Linked DNA regions of Mytilus edulis. The protein of the gene in region 1 binds, or shares a complex with, the protein of each later gene. Links are inferred from orthologs where the notes say so. Each region holds a gene or a part of one and is shown in the gene's direction. Other genes may lie near its edges. The genes, in order: nucleoporin p58/p45-like, nuclear pore glycoprotein p62-like and nuclear pore complex protein Nup93-like.

The links.
Region 2: nucleoporin p58/p45-like (region 1) and nuclear pore glycoprotein p62-like share a complex: the UniProt entries of both Homo sapiens proteins name them as parts of the p62 complex. The link is inferred for Mytilus edulis from reciprocal best matches to the Homo sapiens genes NUP58 and NUP62.
Region 3: nucleoporin p58/p45-like (region 1) and nuclear pore complex protein Nup93-like share a complex: the UniProt entries of both Homo sapiens proteins name them as parts of the p62 complex. The link is inferred for Mytilus edulis from reciprocal best matches to the Homo sapiens genes NUP58 and NUP93.

The regions. Positions count from the first base shown.
Region 1 is NC_092351.1:34,502,215-34,510,300, forward strand, and holds the start of nucleoporin p58/p45-like, read left to right. Parts: upstream 1-5,003; 5' UTR 5,004-5,221; intron 5,222-7,376; 5' UTR 7,377-7,389; coding exon 7,390-7,405; intron 7,406-8,086. UniProt on the Homo sapiens protein: Component of the nuclear pore complex, a complex required for the trafficking across the nuclear membrane.
Region 2 is NC_092344.1:96,295,745-96,303,304, forward strand, and holds the start of nuclear pore glycoprotein p62-like, read left to right. Parts: upstream 1-4,514; 5' UTR 4,515-4,613; exon of another isoform or gene 4,614-5,007; intron 5,008-7,433; coding exon of another isoform or gene 7,434-7,560. Other genes in the region: small ribosomal subunit protein bS21m-like, read right to left, coding at 1,382-1,559, 4,403-4,491; uncharacterized protein, read right to left, coding at 7,434-7,560. UniProt on the Homo sapiens protein: Essential component of the nuclear pore complex. The N-terminal is probably involved in nucleocytoplasmic transport.
Region 3 is NC_092348.1:93,170,453-93,178,556, forward strand, and holds the start of nuclear pore complex protein Nup93-like, read left to right. Parts: upstream 1-5,036; 5' UTR 5,037-5,150; intron 5,151-8,104. Other genes in the region: tRNA-dihydrouridine(20) synthase [NAD(P)+]-like, read right to left, coding at 26-71, 452-568. UniProt on the Homo sapiens protein: Plays a role in the nuclear pore complex (NPC) assembly and/or maintenance. May anchor nucleoporins, but not NUP153 and TPR, to the NPC. During renal development, regulates podocyte migration and proliferation through SMAD4 signaling.

The DNA.
Region 1 (8,086 bases):
AGAGGTCTTTCCTTTGATAATGTAAAATATATGTTCCAATAGACGTAGAATGTATTGAAAAGCTTTAAAACACACTGAAAATCCTTTAAATAAGGTCAAAAACACATAATTCGCTATATGGGACATGACCTTGACCTTTGACCTTTTGACCTTTGTCAAGGTCATTAGTCCCTAATGTCATTGCTGAAGACCCCATGGGTCTAGGACCTTTGGTTATATAGTAAAAGCTGATTTTGTCTTTTCAGAAACCTAAAACAGGGGTTATGCCCCTTATAAAAAGGTCAAATCTCTTTGGTCAAAATGTAACAAAGTTGCGCCGTAATGACCCAAACATTTTCCACTATTTAAAACTTCTGTAAGTATAATGGTTTCTGAGATTATCCCATAACAAGGTGTTAGGTCAAAGGTCAAGGTCAACATACAAATTTGACCTTCAGGTATTTTTCAAAGATACATGAATTGATGATGATTGGTGAAGATCCTAGGTGTCTACGACTTACAGTTTCTGAGTTTTGGTGGCCAACCGACACCGGTTAATTTTCATAGGGGCATAACCCTACCAATGAGTCGTTGAATCTTTTCGATCCAAATGTAACGAAGAACCGGGGTCTGGTCCTGAACAAATTTCACCCTTTGTTTCTTTTCTACCTATTACGGTTACGGTGTTGGAACGATAACAATGGTTTTGGGTTTCGGAGGGATTACTCCGAACCGACAAAATATTTCGACTCACAGGGTGAGTTCAGGATAGGTATTCATGACACCGATACAAAGTGTGAATATGAAAGCGACACATCTTACGGTTAACGCGGATAAATTTGTCAAAGTTTGGCGGAACAAAAAGAATAATTAAACTGTCAATTGTTCTTGAACAATTGAGAGGTCTTTCCTTTTTTAATGTAAAATACATGTTCCAACAGACGTAGAATGTATTGAAAAGGTCAAGGTCAACCTTAAAAAGCTCGAAAACACACTAAAAATCCTTTATATAAGGTTAAAAACACTAAATTCGCTATCTGGTACATGACCTTGACCTTTGACCTTTTGACCTTTGTCAAGGTCATTGGTCCCCAATGCCATTACTGAAGACCTTAAGGGTCTAGGACCTTTGGTTATATAGTAAAAGCTGATTTTGTCTTTTCAAAAACCTAAAACAGGGGTTATGCCCCTTATAGAAAGGTCAAATCTCTTTGGTCAAAATGTAACAAAGTTGCGCCATAATGACCCAAACATTTTCCACCATTTAAAACTTCTGTAAGTATAATGGTTTTTGAGATTATCCCATAACAAGGTGTTAGGTCAAAGGTCAAGGTCAACATACAAATATGACCTTGAGGTATTTTTTAAAGATACATGAAATGATGATGATTGGTGAAGATCCTATGTGTCTACGACTTACGGTTTCTGAGTTTTGGTGGCCAACCGACACCGGTTAATTTTCATAGGGGCATAACCCTACCAATGAGTCGTTGAATCTTTTCGATCCAAATGTAACGAAGAACCGGGGTCTGGTCCTGAACAAATTTCACCCTTCATTTTTTTTCTACCTATTACGGTTACGGTGTTGGAACGATAACAAGGTTTTTGGGTTTCGGAGGGATTACTCCGAACCGACAAAATATTTCGACTCACAGGGTGAGTTCCGGATAGGTATTCATGACACCGATACAAAGTGTGAACATGAAAGCGACACGTCTTACGGTTACGGAGGGAAATTTTGTCAAAGTTTGGCGGAACAAGAAGAATAATAATCAGAAGAAATACAGTAAGGTCTTTCCCTTTAGTAAAAGGAAAGACCTTAATAATAGTCAGAAGAAATACAGTAAGGTCTTTCCCTTTAGTAAAAGGAAAGACCTTAATTAAAAAGTTATACAATGAAACATACTGACCTTGCAATGATTTTCTCGATAACACCTGATTAACAGACTTTAGCCAACCCGATTAACAGACCAACCGCCGATATAGCCGCATACTCAATATAGATTAACCGACCAAACTCTCGGTTAGCCGAGTGTCGGCCGTGAACAGGGACTTGTAATAAAGTCCATGTTGACAACGAGGGTCGATCGAGAACAAATATTTACGACTAAAGAGATAGTTTCAGCTTTCTACCACTTGAACTTTCCATTTCTATGTAGCAACATCGCAGCAGCGCTGCCATATGAGTTATCGGTATATATCTGATTCTCCCAGTTGAAACGATAGTCCAGAGCTTACATTTCGTGTTAAATTTTCTTGATAGAGGGTTCCTGTCTGCCCTCAACGAAGCTTTTAAACCAAGAGTTCTAAGTGAAGTTGAAATCATACAGAGTTTCGAAAACTTTAGAACACCATCACACATCCGATCAAAATTATGGAATATCTGAATTACAGATAACAACAGAAATGTTCCAATTGTCATTATAATCTCATCTTATTTTCCTCGAATATAATCTTTGCATTCGTAAATTGCAACCTCAGCTTATCAACAGATTATCAAAAGATTATCGTCATTGCGAGCATTAAAGCCAACGTCCTAAAGTGTGCCTCACTATAAATCAGGACAAAGCTGGGCCAATGATTTTCGTTTATTGTTTTTGTATAAATTAGACTAGAGATTTTCTTCTTAAGAGTTTTTTTTTCGTATGTCATATGTTGAGAGCCTTTTATCGATAACCTTATGTAAACGGGTTTGTATGAGGCGCGGAGTATAAAGTCAAAACTATTTCTATTAGAAAAATGTATGGCTAAATATTTCAAGACATTTTGACATCAATTTTTAAAGGAATTCTTGACATCGTTTCAAAGATATCCCCCTTAAATCGAATTATGGAGGTCCTGAAATATTTAAAGATATCCTAAAATCGAATAGTGAACCTCGTGAATCATTTCTGGAGTTTCATACTGTTGTAGTCTTTTTTCACTGAAATTCTTAATAAAAATGAATGAATGTATTTTACAAATTCCCTGAATTTAATCAGTGAATCTGTAAAAAAGATCTTAATTATTTCAGTGATTTTGTAAAATCATTAGTCAAAATCAGGGATTTTATAAAATCATTAATCAGTTCAGTGATTTTACAAATTCCCTGAAATTTCAGGGATTTTACAAAATCACTGATTTCACAAATTCCCTGTAACATATACATACATCAATTTTGATTAAAACCGTCCCTCAAGTCTCATAGTTTTGCTCATTGATATGAAGCTAGGGACATCTTATATATGTTATAAGTTGTTAAACATTCTTTGTTTTAGATAAATCAGGTGCTTTTTGTGGTCCTTTTGAAGTTTCGATTAGTTGACAGTTTTTACTTTTCAACTCTTTCCACTACACTTCCACACAATCTTATCAAACAAAGGTTTTCCTATTTAGTTACAAATATATTTGCTTCAACTCAGCAAAATGAATTGAGTGTGTAGGTAAAGATAATATCATTGGTTATATATATATTGTGTGCTTGCTAGCTGAGCCGTGAAGTCCGTGGCATTATTAGGTTATGTATACTACCCTCCTTTATGATTAGTCTAGTCCGACAGGTAACTAATATATCTGTCTGTAAGACTAGACTACTCCGAAAGGAGCTAGGCAGAATACTATAGTAGCTAACTTTATAATAAGTTTACGGTTCAGTTAACAAGCAAGCTAGCCAAATGTATACCCTTTACCTACACACTCAAATCATTTTGCTGTAAAGCCTTCTTTTCTTTGCATTTTTGCACCTGTCCCAATTTAGGAGCCTCTGTTAGTCTTAGTTCATTTATATGTTTTGGAGTTTAGTGTGACGTCCATTTTCACTGACCTAGTATGCACAATTTTATTTAGGGGCTAGATGAGGATTACCTCCGAGTGCGGTATTTTCTTGCTGCGTTTAAGACCCATTGGTTGCCTTCGGCTGATGTCTGCTCTTTGGTCGGGTCGTTGTCTCTGATATTAACCCATTTCCATTCTCAATTTTATTCCCTAATGAGAAAGGTAAATATGTTAGATATACTTATTGGGTGTGTGATTAGATTGTAGCTGACAATTTTTCCATGCAAATATTAATGTACGTTTCGGCATCAAAGGTTACATATCGACGAGTTGGTAGGTATTCCTATGGGGACCAATGGCGCCCCTAATATCAGACTTGTACTGCCATGAATCACAGTTTATGACCAGTCTAACTTGCATTTAATTGATATATATTCAACAACACTTACGGTTATCTTGATGTGTTTTCTAAATATACGGCTGAAATTTACCCAAAGGAAATAACTTTCACTTGAAATAAATAAAATATAAACGGTTAAAACTGTCCTTACCTGGATTTTAGATATGTTCGTTCTACACGGGAAACTATACACTAAAATTTACGACAAGAGGGATGATTTTTTTGGGTCCTTTTTGTCAACTTTCATTGACAATTCTTCCATAAAATGCAAGCAATTTTTTTTCAATATAGAAATAATTTAAAAAAGAATTTACGGAAACTACTAAATACAATACAATACACAATACAATACAATACAATACAATACAATACAATACAATGCAATACAATACAATGCAATGCAATGCAATGCAATACAATGCAATGCATTAATGCAATGCAATGCAATGCAATGCAATGCAATGCAATGCAATACAATACAATACAATACAATACAATACAATACAATACAATACAATACAATACAATACAATACAATACAATACAATACAATACAATACAATACAATACAATACAATACAATACAATACAATACAATACAATACAATACAATACAATACAATACAATACAATACAATACAATACAATACAATACAATACATGCTAAACATGAAAAAGACAAACAGACAAACAATAGTACACATGACACAACATATAAAACTAAAGAATAAGCAACACGAACTCCACCATAAACTGGGGGTGATCTCAGGTGTAAAATGTATTCTGTATTCTGTAAAATGTTGCACAATATTCCGGAAAAGTATCCCAACTTATCCTGGTTTCATCTAATATTACTATTGTTACTAGTTCCCTGTCCAAAATTTTCAATAATACCTTGCTCAACGAAAGTGTCGATTAATTAAGGAATCAGTCGACAGAATTTCGAAAGGCATGAGATGAGAAAAATAATATAATTTTGGTGGGAAATTCTGTAGTGATTGTATGATCTGAAGATATTAGAAATATATAAGAAGTTATATATATGCAGTCCATATCTTTGCAACCTAAATAATTGGAAAGTTTACTTGTGTATGTACATGTAGTTCGTGCTAGCAAAAATTTATCCAGCTTTCGTTTTTAGCTGTGCAACTTTTACAGGCACTTGTTTCTATCCATAAATTTGGAAGACCCACTACCAACGTATATTTAGCGAGTAAATCACAACTTTCCCGAGATTGTATAAGGAAACAATTGAATGATAATATAATTTCTGTGTATAGTATTTTGGTAATGTCTGGCATGTAAATAAGTTCTGTCCATGCACTTACATTTATCTCTGGGTAGATCACAAGATCTGTTGCTGTGTTTAAAAGAAAAGAATCCTTACACCTCTGGAGCACCCAACATCATACCCCGCCCCTGTGTTCATGGTGTTTGGTTGGATTTGTGTTGTCCAGTCTTTAGTTTTCTGTGAACTGTTGTATCTCTTTGTTGTTTTTCATTTTATGTCATGGCATTGTCAGTTTGTTTACTACTTTGAGTTTGAATGCACATTTCAGTATCTTCAACATCTCTTACAAATGAAACAACAATCAGAAATTAACTTTTTTCGTTCTCCTTAATTATTAATAAAAATATTTAATTCTTCAAACTAGACAAAGTTTGGGATAAGAATATTATATTTAATTACATGAGATGAAAAATCATGTACATGTATACATGAAATTTTATCTGCAAATTTGACAATTTTAGAAAACTAATACACCTTATCACTTTTCAGAATGACCATAAAATCTGTCTTGCTTGAACTATTGACATCTTACAACAATCACTTTTCCATTGTGGCGTCAGATATTTTGTATTAGCCTAGCACGTCAAAATTTTACGTGAACCAGAGGGATGTCCGGTATTGGAGGACAAATAGCGATAAGGTGTATTTGAATCCATAACTTCGAACAACTGAATAGATTTCGATGTAACATTCAAATAGTTATACATGTCACATGAATAAAATTATTTTTATATTTATCTGATTTTTTTTTTGGTGGTTTCCCATTGCATATCATGCATATTGTGGAATTTGAATTAGCAGGCACAGAAGAATGATCAAAATTGTAGTATGAATTATGAGCTCTGCTTTCAGTTTTTGTCTCACCTGGAACAGAAATAGAAACCTTAAAGTGAGGATTACAATTAGACAGTGAGGACAGCATACACTATAAACCTTCATGTCTTGTATGCAGATGCCTTATGTTACAAAGTTTGTGTATATATCCTATGTCCTTGACCTCATTTTCATTGTTAAGTGACTGTCATGTGAATTTCTTACTTATCATGAGTAAAAGGAAAACTATATTTGGTATGGTTTCCTTGCAAGGTCTACATGTCAGTTAGTCCACCTGCCCCCTTCTTTATTCAACCCCTCAAATATCAAATTAAGTTTTTCGTGGTCACATCCATATCCCAATCAGATACTGTAAGCAATAGATCAGCAAATTTTATATGGAATGATTGTAAAACATGTCTGACTGGCAGGTTTCATTTGACCTTGACCTCATTTTAATGCTTCTTTAGTCTATGTTATTTTTTATGATTTGGTTTATTTACTAGAAACTACATTTATAAGCTATTATATATCACCTATATTTAGTATAGATAATGATTGAATAATTGTAAGGTGTATACTGTATGTTCAACTGACAGGGTTCATTTGACCGTGACCTCATTTTTATGGTGCATGCCATTGCACTCAAAGCTAGGTCTTGTATTTTGGTCTGTTTTTTTCAAGTACTATACTCAATAGGACACCAATATTTGGTTATATTTTAATTGATTGTCAGGTGTACATATCTGTCATAGAGAGTTCACCTGACCTTGACCTTAGTTTCATGGTTCATTAGTCAACTGCATTTGGTGTATAGAAGGATTGCATGGTGAACATGGTGTCTGGTACGTTTCATCTGACCTTGATCTCATTTCCATTTGTAATGTTCATGCAAAACTTTTATAAATTCGTTCAATATCAATTCGTTTGTGATAAGTAAAACAGGCTAGATATTGCAGCATTGTTCACTCTTGTTCTTGTTTTTTTAAAGAGGTCTGAAAGAAGTTTGACTTTAGTATTAACATGATTAACATTCATGTCATTAGCCATTAATTAAATGAGTGACTAACAGTTGTATATGCATGCAATGAGAAGATGAGAAACATTAATGTTGAAAATATAATGTTGTCTTTATTACAGGTAAATTCCAGACATGGCTAACCAACCAGGTATATTATTTTAATATTATTTAAAAAAAGAAATATACTGGTAAAATATTTTTGACATGACAAAGAATTGAAAAGTCATAAACATGATATTGCTGAAAAAAATAAGTACATTGTATCTGACAGTGTGAAAACTACAAAAGTTGCTTCAGTTTTTGTCTCGATAAATTCATTGACAAAGTCAGACTAAAGTTGCTGTTTCCAGCATCATCGGCAATGTGTTAGTTTGAAGTTTAATCATGTTGATTTTAATTGTCAGAATTGTGAAATCGCCATTACCAAAAATGACTAGTCCTTGAATTCATTAGAAAAATTCTTATTGAGAATTCGAACCCCATTTCCTTAAAATGTATTATTAATAGTAAAATAGGAAAAGAAAATATGGTATGATTGACAATGAAACAGCTCTTCAAAATAGACCAAATTTAAATGAAACAGGAATGATCAACTGCATGTCTAGGTCAATGTTTTGTCCAGTTCAATTTAACTAAAACGAAAGCCTATGATGTAGGGTTCAGACTCTACGAAACAATTGTATATCAAGTTAGTGTGATGAATTCTTTTCGTGGACAAGGGAGTCACAAATTAAAATTATAAAAGAAATATGATGTTATAGAATACTGTGGATTTATTATTATTTGTTGGATACCAATTTTCGTGGGTTTCATTGGTACAGGTGAACCA
Region 2 (7,560 bases), on another chromosome or scaffold:
CCTTCTAAAATATAAAGCTAAATACAATTGGTTAATGCTGCCATCGTAAGATTGTAAATTGTAGTCTCTATGTCTCCCAGTCACAGGCAATCTATGTCTCCCAGTCACAGGCAATCTATGTCTCCCAGTCACAGGCAATCTATGTCTCCCAGTCACAGGCAATCTATGTCTCCCAGTCACAGGCAATCTATGTCTCCCAGTCACAGGCAATCTATGTATCCCAGTCACAGGCAAGAAAAAAATTAACAGACGACGACAGATGCCAAGTGATGAGAAAACCTCACTTACAGAATGGAATAGGGATGACTACGGCTCAGCTGCTCGTGAACAAAACATAACTTTTACTGTCCATTTAGCTGGTCTACTACCATACCCTATCCCTGAATCAAATTGTAATATGCTAGTAACTGAAATACTCTAAATCAAAGATCTTAGTAATATTAACTTAGACTTTTTAGCAGAGTTTAATTTGATGTCGTAGATGCACTCATATCCTACATACATCCATATTGTATGTCCAGATCTAACCATATACAAAGTTTCATATAGATATAAGAACCATCATTGTAGGGAAGAGAATGAGATCTTAACCACATGCACATCTACACATTAAGATCTAATAATGTATCCATTTCCATGTAGATATTATAAACCATGATGGAAAAGTTGTTGAGTTTATAGGTAATGGACTGGGTCAAAATATTGTCATTGCAAAGAGACATCTCTAGAAAAACTAAATAGACAGAGCATCCTACCATCATAAGTATATAAAGATTTAACAATATAACAAGTTATGTGTAGATATTATTATACATATACCTGTTGGTGGTGTTGCAATCGTAATGTCAGGGGAAAAAGTTGAAAGGGCCATAACTCCTAAAAACCTCAATGGATAGGAAAATACTACCCACATGCACATCTCTATATACATGATATAAAGATCTAACAAATAATTAGTTTTCATGTAGACATAATAAACCATGCAGGAGTTGCTATGCCAATTTTCTGTCTGAAAAGGGGCATAATTCTAGGGAAACTAAACAGAATTGACAATCTTTTACCTGTTGATACATTGTTTTTGCATATCATAATAAATTATTCTAAAAAGTTAGAAGTGAATCAAAGGTCATAGAAGTTGGTCTGGACAAACAAACAGACAGACAAGCTGATTTCCATCAACCAATCCAATCTTTGTATAATAAATCTCTCAGTACAGACTGTTGGAGGAGGGGGGGATTTTTTTTTTAAATATTATGCAAATGATGAACTTTATTTGTCACAACTGTTTATTTTCTATATAATTTACATTCCATCTGAAAAAATGTTTTGGAAGTATGTCACTTATGAGGAGCAGAATACACATAATGTATTTTAATATTCATCATCCTATCCATGGACTTTCTCTGTTGACTTTCATCACAAATTCTATTTTTCTTTGCATGTCAGCATTGTATATCCTCTTGCATCTTTCATAACTAATACGTCTCCTCATTGTGGTTGGTTTTTCATAATATTTCTTTCTCCTAACTTGGTCAACAATTCCATCATTTCTCATAAATCTGGAAAAAAAAGTGTTTAAATTTTTATTACAGAGACTAGTTTAAAATTGAAATTATAGAATATTTATTCAAGTAATTTGCACTTACATAACTAGTCTAAGTTATTAACAGGTTTATATACTCACATAATACATTTGTCAAGGTTTGGTATTTGTTTATATAAAAAAGAAGAAAATGTGGTATGATTGCCAATGAGACAACTCTGCACAAGAGACAAAATGATACAGAAATTAACAACTAACGGTAACAGTACAGCATTCAACAATGAGCATTACCCTGCTTGGATGGCACCATTCTGGTATACATAGATAATAGCCTGTTAGTAACTTTAATTGATCATACCATCAGTCCATCACTGTCTGATACCATGTATATGTGATCCAAACATAATAATGAATTCTTGCTTGAAATTCAAATTCAAATCTTAGAAAATAGAGTTCTACTTTTTTTTATTTTGGGATTAAATTTTTATAGAGTACTTGAAAGAACATTATACTTTCAGAATGACGCATTTTCTTTAACATTAATTATTTAAACTTCTGTTGTGTACAGATAAACTTTCCAGTGATCAAAACTATAAAGTAAAAGGAATCATCTTATCTAAATAAAAATAGTGCTAAATCCCAAATATATTCGTGTGGCTGTTCTAAGTTTCTGGTTGTTTTTCTTTGAAACTAATATTCCTGGTTTTGTGCTAATTTGAAGTTATTGAAGGGCAGATGTTTGATATGTCACTCTGATCATATTATCCGCAACATTTTTATACGACCGCAAAAATTAAAAAAAATTTTGGTCATATATTGGTATGACTTTGGCGTCGTCGTCTGAAGACATTTGGTTTTCGCACTATAACTTTAGTATAAGTAAATAGAAATCTATGAAATTTAAACACAAGGTTTATGACCACAAAAGGAAGATTGGGATTGATTTTGGGAGTTTTGGTCCCAACAGTTTAGAAATTAGGGGCCCAAATAAGCATTTTCTTGTTTTTTGAACAATAACTTTAGTATAAGTAAATAGAAATCTATGAAATTTAAACACAAGGTTTATGACCACAAAAGGTTGGAATTGATTTTGGTAGTTTTGGTCCCAACAGTTTAGGAATTAGGGGCCAAAAGGGTCCAAAATTAACTTTGTGTTTGATTTCATCAAAAATTATTGGGGTTCTTTGATATATGCCAAATCTAACCATGTATTTAGATTCTTATTTTTTGGTCCCGTTTTCAAATTGGTCTACATTAAGGTCCAAAGGGTCCAAAATAAAACTTATTTAGATTTTTCACAAAAATTGAATTGTTGGGATTCTTTGATATGCTGAATCTAAACATGTACATAGATTTTTTTTATTATGGGCCCAGTTTTCAAGTTGTTCCAAATCGGGGTCCAAAATTAATCTTGTTTGATTTCAACAAAAATTGAATATATGGGGTTCTTCAATAAGCTGAATCTAACCATGTATTTAGATGTTTAATATTTGGGCCAGTTTATCAAATTGGTACACATTGAGGTCTAAAGGGTCCAAAATTGAATTCTTGGGGTTCTTTGATATGCTGAATCTAACCATGTTTTCAGATTTTGGATATTGGACCATAATAGGTAAATGTCCAATTTAAAAAATTTAAGTTTTTAAGTTTCTCTTAGACCACATTCATTCTGTGTCAGAAACCTATGTTGTATCAACTATTTAATCACAATCCAAATTCAGAACTGTATCAAGCTTGAATGTTGTGTCCATACTTGCCCCAACTGTTCAGGGTTTCGACCTCTGCTGTCGTATAAAGCTACGCCCTGTAGAGCATCTGGTTATACCTAGGTGCCTATTTGGACCATGATATATTGTATAAGACACCTTATGTTCATGTTCATAAATTTTATATGTACATTTTGTAACTTTTCATATGGTTGATTCTCAGTATTTTTAAAATTTGATTCAATATCCCAAACTTCACTTCCATATACATGATATTCATGTAATAAAATTGGGAGTACCATTGTATCAAAAAGTTTTTCTAAAATTCTACATGAATTGTTAAGACTTAGAGATTTCTGTATTTTGAATAGAGCTTTTTTAGCTTTTACTATCAATAAATTAGAGGCAAGCTGCAAGGTTAATAAATTTAATGATAGATCATGAACAGCACATGCTGCTACACTGCAGAGGTTACTCCAGTATTAGAGAGACTTTTGTATTAAAAATGTTCAAAATTACAGGAAAAAATATAACCACATTGTGCGATAAAAATAAAATAAATCTTATACTTTATAATATATCACTAATATACGGCACTTAATTAACTATCTTCCTCTTTCTTACTAGTAATTATCTATTGCAATAGATTTTCATTATACCTTTAATGTTTTATTCACATATAATGTTTGTAATTTACTACATGTACCATGTATATACCTTATCGCTAATCCCGGCTGACCCGGCCGCTTGAACTTTTGACGCATACAACAATCACTTTTCCATTGTGGCGTCAGATATTTGTTTTATGATGTCAAAATTTTACGGGAACCTGTGTGATATCCAGCAATGGCGGAAAAATAGCGATAAGGTGTATTGTAAATAGTTTATCCATTGGGTCATTACCATCATGATTATGAAACAGGTAAAACTTGAAACATTTTCTGTTTTAAAAGGAAAATAATGTTATTTTATCATAAATTTTATACGGAAATAATTTCCCAATTTGGGTGAAAATTCCCAATTTTGATAGAAAAGGGACCCATTTGAAAATACCTGGAATCATACCCGAAGATACATTTCTCAAGGACGTACTACGATTTATGATTGTCAATCTTTAAAAAAAAAGACCATGTAAGTAATTATAATATAATACCTCATCAATGCATTGTGGGCTTGTTCTACGTTATTTTTGTGAACAAAAACGGTTCTTGCCAAGAATTTTGCATTTCTATGGCATGACATTTTGTCAATGAATGGTCTCCCTTGTTCTATGGTCACTTATGCGTTTAAAGTAACGCGATTTGCATTAGAAATGTAAGAACATTTGTACACCGATTAAGATTTCGAGCCAAATCAAAAAGAAAGTATGAAAATAGCATGTTTTGCTTTCCTTTACAGAAAAGGAAGGCTTTTAATTTAAAAGTGTAGAAAAGAGTTGGAATACAATGAATGAACATACGTCTTCGTCCCCTGCGATTTTGAGGATTTTTCACTACACATAATTTATTTAAAACATTTTTTTTAGACGAGGAACAAATTATCTTTCTGTTTGCCACTTGCTATTTGTTTTTAATTAGTATTCTTCTACTTATACATTGTAATGACCACCTTCAACACGTTGAAATTTATTATTATATTGATATTTTGGGAGGCGACTTTCCTGATATGGAACTTGCGCCCTATTTACACTTATCGTGATTGTTTTTTGGAGAAAAAAGAAAAAAAAAGTCTTAGTGTTTCGTGTTTTGTTTACTACACGTGAGTTCTTAAGTTGTGAGGTTTTTTTTCAAAGTCTTTAATGTATTGTGGTTTTACTTTTGTAAAAAAATGTTTATTTTGTCGTTCTTGCTTTTGTTTCGTTGCATTGCTAATTACATAGTTGATTGCTTTGATATATAAGGTAGTAGTTGCTAATAAATATACACAAGTGTATAAATGAATCTTAATGTCCATCGCTGAAGATAGAGATTATATACTGCTTCCCGATAGCCCGGTGTCAATTATTTAATGAAAAATTGCCAAAAATATGTATGCGCCAGAAAAAAAGACTGTCGCATACTTCTGTCACCTACATTGGGGTTAATAAAAGAAACAAAATATTATATATGAAATTCCCACAGATACCAAGAGACCAGTTTGAGTCATGGTCCCTTTGTTCAGTGAGGATTGTCGTGGTCTTTGTATTGACCCCGACTGCCCTCACTGACCATGAGACCACTGAATAATCAATCTGGTAATCAAATTTTGAACTGTATCCCATTATTGACACCGTGACTTCGGGAACACGTTGAAGTATATGTCACTTGTACTTTTATAGCTAATATTTTAATTGTCTATAGTCGAGATTACTCTGACGTCCAACGCCTGTTTTGCCAGACAAGCTGGGGCCGTGGGACGTCAGAGCTCATCCCATATCAAAAAGTCTTATAGATAAACGTCATGTTTTTCCTGTTTAAATGGTTTTGCACAAGTCATTTTGGGGCCCTTTATAGCTTACTGTTCGGTTTGAGCCAATGCTCTGTGTTGAAGACTGTACTTTCCCCTTTTATGGTTTTTCTTTTACAAATTGTGACTTGGATTGAGTGTTGTCTCATTGGCACTCATACATGTACCACATCTTCTTATATCTATGTTCTAGTTCTTTTCTTTTTGTTGAAATAAATCAGAAAGAAGAGAGTATCAGTATTTCTGTGACGTGAATGCCAATTTTCACTTGGGAAAAATACAAATCCTGATAAATAGAGGCTTGTCAGTTTGCCCCACTTATGAAAAATAGAAAAGTCCTTATGAATTAAGTCAATGAAAATCTAGGTTTTATCTTTTTGCATTAAGTGGGGCAATTAACGGGATTTAACCCTTTTCACAAGTGGGACCAGTTTGTAAATCAGTTTGGGTTGATTTTTTTAAAAGTGGGGCGAGTTTGTAAACAATGGGGAGATTTGGTGTGGGGCGATTTGATGTGGGGCGATTAGCAAGATGGGCGATTTGTCCTGCTTCCATCCATACCATCAAAGACAATTACTTCTGAAGCAAAATATACATGTGTTATTTGTAAAAACAACACTTAACCCTATATTTTCATCTAATTGATTACTTCAAGGGTGTTATTCATCTGTCTGTATCGATACAAAAGATAGAAGTCCTGGATAAACACATACCGGTACATGAATTTAAAACTTCCCTATTACTCTATAAAACCCTTAAAAAAATTCTAAAGATAACCCTGAAACGACAGGTACATGTAAGTAATTATGAAAATAACCAAAATAGTATCTAATATGCATGTCATCATTTAAAGCAAGCACTTTACTTTACCTGTTGATAATTAGCAGTTTATCATTATGATTCACATGCAGCAAAATTATAAATCAATATAACAAGGTGACATGATCTTGTATGATCCCAAAATAAATTAATTATTTGAAGATTTCTTGGTAATTCATTGTCATTACCTTGAGGAATCATTTTAGAAATTTGAAAATACAATGTTACATGTACAAATGCATTCTTTAATTGAAAAATCTTTCATGTAATGCACCAGAATATTATTTATAACATCCAATTTTTACTATTTGATAAATGATATTACATCAATAAAGGGTTTATCCCTTATATAAATAGTGATCCTAACTGATGATTGTCTAGGTGGTCATACTTATGGGGGCTTTCTTTTATTATCTTATACTGCAACAATTGTTTTACCGAAATAACCTGGAATTTTTAAAGACAGAAATGAGAATCAGATGCTATGATATCAGTCAATCGGCAAGATTTAACAATTCTCAAAATTCTTTGGCGACTAAAATCACCATTTTGCTGGCTAGATTATGGCCTGCTATCCATAAAAAGGATAGATCAGAAAAAAAATTAGAAGATGTTAAGCAATATATAGTGGTTATCTTAGAGTGGTATAATCAGACTTTTTAGGCACAAATAAGAAATACTAGCTGGTTTTACTTGTATTGATTCTAAACTCCATTTGCACATAAATCTCAACGTCATAAGTAGCATGACGTTACTATACATACATAGCGGTACCGCGAACGTCTAATGAACACAGTCCTGAACATCCTGGGGGGCCGCGAATGAAAATTTAAGCAATAAATAAAGAAAAAACTTTAAAATGAAATAACTATTGTCTCTCAAATGAAATAAAACTTTAACTTTTAACACTTAAACAGTCTCTATGCTTTACGGAACGGTTGAATCCAACTTTTGATTTTCTCCTTGGCATCAGTTTTTGCTTTTCTGGTTGAAGTAATAGTGTTGTCACTTGAATCACACGGACTATCTGTTGATAAGAGTTCAAGT
Region 3 (8,104 bases), on another chromosome or scaffold:
TACCAAATCTTAATCAGTTACTTACCATTTTCTACTCTAGTTGAGCTGAGTATTTTGAAATCAATTATTTCCTAAAAATATAGAGTGTATATTTCATGATAAATACAGTTGCAGTGAACTCAATACAATGTCTTGTAGTTTTGGCATCATTGCATAATAATATATATTTATCTAGCATATAGCATCCTTCAATGTAACAAAAAAATTTCATACAACACAAGTTTGTCAGAAAATCAACATCATATTTGAATGTTGTCTTATATTGTGTGTTTCTTGCCTCCCAACTTTATCAATTTTATATTATTTAAGGTAAAATAAGCCATGGTTGAAGAGAGAAAAAAAATGCAAAAAACTGACTCAATTTGAGTTACAAGCTCTCAACTTGGGAGAGGCACATACAGAAGTGTCTGGGTAAAACTGCACTAGATATATAATTATACAACAATTTTACCTCACAGTATACTAAATCTGCGCCATATCTAAGTGACAAAAGTCTAAATGGTAATGTAGATACTCTAACCATAGGAGCCAAAATCACTTTGTGGTGGAAATCTATTTTCTCCGTCATTATCTATCAACACTGAAAAATAGTTCATAGTCATTTTTATATCAACAAAGGTAATCCAATGGGTCCGAGTACACAGTTATTTCGTAGTGCATTTCTTTTAGACAATAAATGAAAATTAAAAAAATCCCACCTGCGCTTTCTCAATTATATTTTTACAGTGTGTTGTACTACTTTTGGGACAAATTATATCAAAATTATAGAAAACTTCATTAGCTCTTACTCAAAATATGGACAATTTTATGTTAAGGGGGTCTTGAAATCTTTTGACAGCTTCCGAAGTGCTAATTTTTGACCTTTTTCAGCTGGACCTAATCACTACTTTACATTAATATTTATTACCCAATTTTTTTTACAGTGTCATTTCACCCCCCAACTTGCTATATGAGGCATAAAACATGGAGAAATAAATTTGGAAGGGGTATAACAAAAATTGGCAAGTAACACACTGTCCACACTAAGGACTATATTCGTGGACAACGAAAATCAAAGGACGATAACTGTGTACTCTGACCTAATAGGATAGAAAAAGTTGACCAATCTTAATAAAACTTGGTATGACTAAAGCTTAATATATTATAAGACTGCTTACAAAGTTTCATAGCAATAGGATATATATTATAGACAATATGATTAATTCTATATTCAACTTTGTGTGTTAAATTTAGACGTTAAAATTGAGAAATTTCAACTATCAACATTTGGGGCTTTTAAAATTTAAATTTGGCAAAAAAATACTTTTAAAATGCCTTAATATATAATATATCATGTATTTAAAGCAATAGAGTACTCATTTGATATATCAGACTTAGCATTATTATTCAAAAGTCAAATTTATATGAGCCTGTGCTTAAAAATAGAGGTTTTCCAATGAAAGGGTGTCTTACATGAAGATGTAATATTTTCCAGCAAATTTAAATTTGTGAAGCTTTTTGATTATAAATAATCCTTACATATCTATTTAATGTACTTTAAATGGAAATAAAACTTACAAATAACATATCATATTAGTTTAAAAGGGTCTTAGGCCAAGTAAGACTAAAAATAATTTAGGGTCAATTTAGGCCGCAGCACATATTTACATTTAAAAGTGCATATTGAAGCTATAGGAAATACAAATTTGTGTCTTTTCTATCATTTCTATACTCAGGTGACATGATACAATAAATCTGAGCACAAAAAGGCTCTTACATTCAACTTTTTAGCAGACAGTATGGTCTGATACAAAGATTTTTCACTTTTTAGTGAAAAACTTGCATGCAATTTTAGTCTCAACAGGCTTATATTTGAACCACATGCTATCCTACAGAAGTAAAGAAAGATATTATGAGAAATGAAACAGGTACAAAGGACATTGTTAAGTGTTTTTTATACAAATTTAGTGAGGTCTTTATTATTGACTTCAACTTTTATGTGCCATGCTCCTCACATTTAACTTGATCCAAACAGGGCGTTAGACGAGGGTCATTTATACAACACATTTTGCTCATACTGTCCAAGATAATCTTCTTTTCTGTAGATTCAGAGTTCACAAATAAGTAATAAAACTGGATTAAAGCATAGAAACACAAAAATTGAGACATGAAAACATGTCAGATAGAAAGTCAGAATGCCACTTATGCATCAAAATTGAAAAAGCTATGAAATGCTTATTTTGACCATATAATGCCAAAATTGGTCATTTTTGCAGAAATTCTATCAAATAAAAGTTTAAATCCTTTAGTTTTAAGCTATTTGACAAATTGACAACATCAAATCATTCAGGGAAGTTGCCAGAGTACAGATTCTATATTTCCTGATTTCACCTCTTAGGTCTGAGTACACAGTTATTTCGTAGTGCATTTCTTTTAGATAATAAATGAAAATTTTAAAAATCCCACCTGCGCTTTCTCAATAATATTTTTACAGTGTGTTGTACTACTTTTGGGACAAATTATATTAAAATTATAGAAAACTTCATCAGCTCTTACTCAAAATATGGACAATTTTATGTTAAGGGGGTCTTGAAATCTTTTGACAGCTTCCGAAGTGCTAATTTTTGACCTTTTTCAGCTGGACCTAATCACTACTTTACATTAATATTTATTACCCAATTTTTTTTACAGTGTCATTTCACCCCCCAACTTGCTATATGAGGCATAAAACATGGAGAAATAAATTTGGAAGGGGTATAACAAAAATTGGCAAGTAACACACTGTCCACACTAAGGACTATATTCGTGGACAACGAAAATCAAAGGACGATAACTGTGTACTCTGACCTAATAGGATAGAAAAAGTTGACCAATTTTAATAAAACTTGGTATGACTAAAGCTTAATATATTATAAGACTGCTTACAAAGTTCATAGCAATAGGATATATATTATAGACAATATGATTAATTCTATATTCAACTTTGTGTGTTAAATTTAGACGTTAAAATTGAGAAATTTCAACTATCAACATTTGGGGCTTTTAAAATTTAAATTTGGCAAAAAAATACTTTTAAAATGCCTTAATATATAATATATCATGTATTTAAAGCAATAGAGTACTCATTTGATATATCAGACTTAGCATTATTATTCAAAAGTCAAATTTATATGAGCCTGTGCTTAAAAATAGAGGTTTTCCAATGAAAGGGTGTCTTACATGAAGATGTAATATTTTTACAGTGTCATTTCACCCCCAACTTGCTATATGAGGCATAAAACATGAAACTGAAATGGAAAAAAAAAATATCTTATCACAATAGTTACTTATCATTATTATATTCTTCTAGATGAAACCCTCTGACAAATTAAGCAAAATAAAGCAAAACAAATACAATTGTGTATAACAATGAATCAGTGATATTGTTTGCCTTAAATTACTGGAGAATAAGGGCTTTTTCCCCTGGTGTAGAATCCCAATTTGGAAAAAAAAATGGCTTAAAATTATTCCCAAAAAGACAACTCTTTTCCCAAATAGTGCAGTCTCAATAGTAATTGTGCATGAATGCAAACTGAAAAACACTCATTTATACATTGTTCATGCCTACAATGACTATATGTGTAGATTTGAGGGTTCATTTATGACTTATCACTGACCATAAGGGGTTTTGTTCCACTTTTGGTCCAAAGAAGCACAGGTACAAAACAAGATTTTGTTAATAAATGTATATATACAGAATACATTATTCACTATTAAATGTGTACTAGATTAGAATTTAGGGGAAAAATCTCTTTTTTATTAAACTTGTATTGTTGATAAAATTATTTACAATTTATCATAATCTTCTTTACTTATTGCCTAAAACACAAAAAAGAGTAAAAACAAAATCAACATGTAAGGGCAATCACTCTTAGGAGTATAGTATACAAACGATTTTGGCGATACACTTATAAAATGTATGTAGACCTTCCCTTGCTAATAATTTTTGTCATTTAAAGAGTTTATCTATCTTATATAGTTTTCAAGTGAACTAGAGAGATGGACCAAAACTGCAAAAGTCACCATGTATCTGTATCTGTATATTTCTCGGAGAGATTTCAAGAGAGACATTCTTTCAGTTTCTAAAGGTGTACATGAAATCAGAAAAAGTGAAATGGTTTCATCCTCTTTGCCACAGACTCTGCAGATGGCAGATACCTCATTTTGAAAAAATTTCACTCCATATATTTGTCTTCAAGACATGCAAGATGAAATTGCCAGTTGCAAATCTGGTCCTAATTGTTAATTTGATTATGTCTCTACAGTTTGATGTATTTGTTGTAAGTATTGGATGTATTCTTTCTGTCTTATATTCACCAGATATGTATTTTAAGCTGGAGTATCTCTCAGAGTCTTTATTAATTTTTTCATTCCAGTAGGTTACTAGGTATGTATAGACGTATTTACACTTGTATGCAAATTTGTCCGCCATTATGTAAAATCACACAGGTTCCCGTAAACTTTGACATCATAATTTAAATTATTTGACGTCACAATTTAAAAGTGATTGTTGCTTGACGTCAAAAGGGTTGAGTTCAATATCGTAGCAGCTACGTAGCAGCTACGTAGCCGCTACGTAGCAGCTATCAATATCTATGTAATAACTAGTATTTAGCTACACGTTCAATAGTCAAAATCTACGTAGCGCTACGTAGCAGCTACGATATTGAACGCAGCCAAGGTGATTCGGAGTAGATCTAAGGTCATTCGGAGGCAAGATTCAGCTAAATACCAAAAGTGTAAATACGTTTATTCATTTGGTGATAAACTTTCCCATTGCTTTGACTTTTTTTGTAGACTATACATGTATGATAAAAATTACATTGGTGGATAACATGGCAATTTAGAAAACTTACCAAGTAACTGATTAATCTAAACAAAAAGCTTTCTCTAAATTGAAAGTACACTTAAAATATTGCAATCCTGGGAAACACCTGACAAAACCTGGGCGCAGACATTTTGGATAAATCAAGGTAAATGAGACGCTTGAATGTAATTCAGTGGATAACTTACGTTTATTAAAACATTTTAATGATCCAATTTCAAATCATTCTTATTTTCCTTTGGCGGTTTTGAACCGGTTGAAGAACATCAACAAGGATTGACAGAATAGGCTTTTGCCATATGAAAAGGTTACTTATTTATGATGAGACAACAAATAGTTTGGTTTTGCCCTGATGTACTGAAGGAAAGCATATGTATCCCTCAAATCTATTGTTATCCTTTTAATAGAATTATTGTAGTTCATGGCAAATGTGGTACCTAGTCCCTGAATAAAAATGACATCTGGCAAGGCTATTATTTTTTTTCTTTCTGGGATGCCTTACCGTTAATATATTTTTTCTGTCATTGCCAATTTTCAAACACAGGTACTAGACTTTCTATCAATAACAAGAACATATAGACCATGGGAAGAAAATAGTTTCAATTTATACGACAATGTCTTTTTTATATACCTTGGCACCAGGGCTTCCAAAACGGTGATATATTCCGGTCAGTTTATAATGTCTGGTAAAAGTCCGGCTGTGCAAAGCATGAAACGGTCATATACTTTTTAGGTTTCAAGGCTTTTTCAGTCATTTTTACATAATTCACGATCTTTTTGAACCAATCTTTTGCCTATAACATCAACACAATAAAAAATTCCGGTCATAAATGTGACATGATGATTAATTACTATCAAAACAACACCTACTTCAATACTTTCTAATTTTAATCAAAGGACATCGTATAAATTGATCGGTTTATTCACAATTATTTTCTTACATTTCAGCGGTTTGTATCTAATTGATTTAGTCCAAAAGATTAAAATTATTAGAAATTAGTTGATCAACATGATTTGATGAAAAATTTAAAAAGGTTTTATATGAAAAATCGTCAGAACTATGTCGTATGAATTAGAACATGTGTGCACAGGTGGAAAAGTTAATAATGCATCCTCATTTCTTCAAAAATGCTAACATTATTATTGATCTAACGTTCATTTCAAGTATTTTGTTGAAGAAATAACGGGGAAAAGAGCTTCTTCTCTCTGTCGTGCTTTGTAAACGTACACAGATTTAAGTATCCCTTTATGGTCCAAGTTTTACCATTGTCAAGTCAACATCCAGTTAGAACAATGTGAAAACGAAAGTAAAGTTTTTGACAATGTCATTTTGCACAAATAAAAAGTCTAAGGCTGATGTGCACACTTTGAATTATGCACTGCCAATTTAACAGTTACACCCGAACATTACGTTCAGGTATTTCCCATCCAATATTTTATGGAAATATTCTTTATAAAGGACAAAAATGTAAGTATTCACCTCAGAAGCTAACAAAACCTTTAAATAGACTTATTAAGAAGGGATATAGTTACGATACTGTTGTCAGGTCATTAAAGATTGCATATTTTGGCGTTAATATTGATTTACTTATAGGGTCTTTGCATCAGAACTAATCACATTAATATTGATAAACCAGTTGTTGGCATGACACGGGTTATGTTCTTCTCATATATGTTATGATGGTATGATACTAAACCCCTCACGGGGAGGATTGTGCCTGATATTCATATGATGAAGACATAATTTTTCAATCAGTTTAATTGAGGTCCGGAGCTGGCATGTCAGTTAACTGCAAATAGTCTGATGTTATTTATGTATTATTGTCATTTTGTTTATTTTCTTTGGTTACATCTTCTGACATCAGACTCGGACTTCTCTTGAACTGAATGTTAATGTACGTATTGTTATGCGTTTACTTTTCTGCATTGGCTAGAGGTATAGGGGGAGGGTTGAGATCTCACAAACATGTTTAATCCCGCCGGATTTTTGCGCCTGTCCCAAGTCAGGAGCCTCTGGCCTTTGTTAGTCTTGTATTATTTTAACTTTTAGTTTCTTGTGTACAATTTGGAGTTTAGTATGGTGTTCATTATCACTGAACCAGTATATATTTGTTTAGGGGCCAGCTGAAGAACGCCTCTGGGTGCGATAATTTCTTGTTGCATTGAAGACCTGTTGGTGACCTTCTGCTGTTGTCTGCTCTATGGTCTGGTTGTTGTCTCTTTGGCACATTCCCCATTTCCATCATCAATTTTATTAAATTCATATCATATCAAAGTAAAGTTTAAATTTTTTTAATGTAATGTCAATCATTGGAATATGGCCATCTGATTACCATAATTGCCTTTTGTGACTAAGTCTTAAGGGATTAAAATTGGGATCAGATATGAAATGTCCGGCTGGCTCAAATATTTTTTGGAAGCCCTGCTTGACACACACATGATATAGTAAGATCCCCACATGTTAGTATGTTGATGGATTTCTGAAATATCGGTCTCTCTAATATGTCACTTTTGGAATTATAATAATAATAATAATAAATTCTTTATTTAAAGAGGGTATACTCAGTTAGTTACAATAAACTAATCTTCCCTGAGGCCCTCACATACAAATGATACAATCAAAACAGATATTTACACATAGTTAATTTACAATCATGTAGTTCAATGTCATTAACATAAGATATAATGCTGTTTAAGATGTATACATGAAACCAAAAAATCAAATGAAAGTAAAAAATATATAAATACATTGTAGCAAACATTTCTTATCAGGGTTGTGTTAGGTACTTCTTGATACTTTGCTTAAAAGTAAAAGTGTTTTGAGCTTTACGCATTTTGTGTGGTAGTCCATTCCATAATACTGATCCAGAATAAGCAAAGGATTACTTAAATAGTTCAGCTTTTGGCTTTGGAACTATCAGATTACCTTGAGCGACACCTCTTAAGCCTAAAGGAGTAAGGATTATTATCTGATTTCAGTTTAAACTTTTGAACTAGGTACATTGGTGCTTCCATATGCATACATTTATATAGAAGTAAATATTTGTGGTATTTTATTCTATTGTCAACTGTCATCAACCCAAGTTTTTTAAATAAGGGGGCTGAGGGGGATAAAGGATCTGCATCTAGAATTAATCTTGCTGCCCTTTTTTGGAGTTTTAAAATTCTTGAAACTTGAAAGCAGGGAGACATTTGTACAGGTGCCCCTTCTATCTGGTAAATAAGATCATAAAGAAGTGTGAAAGTGACAATCTGTTCAGC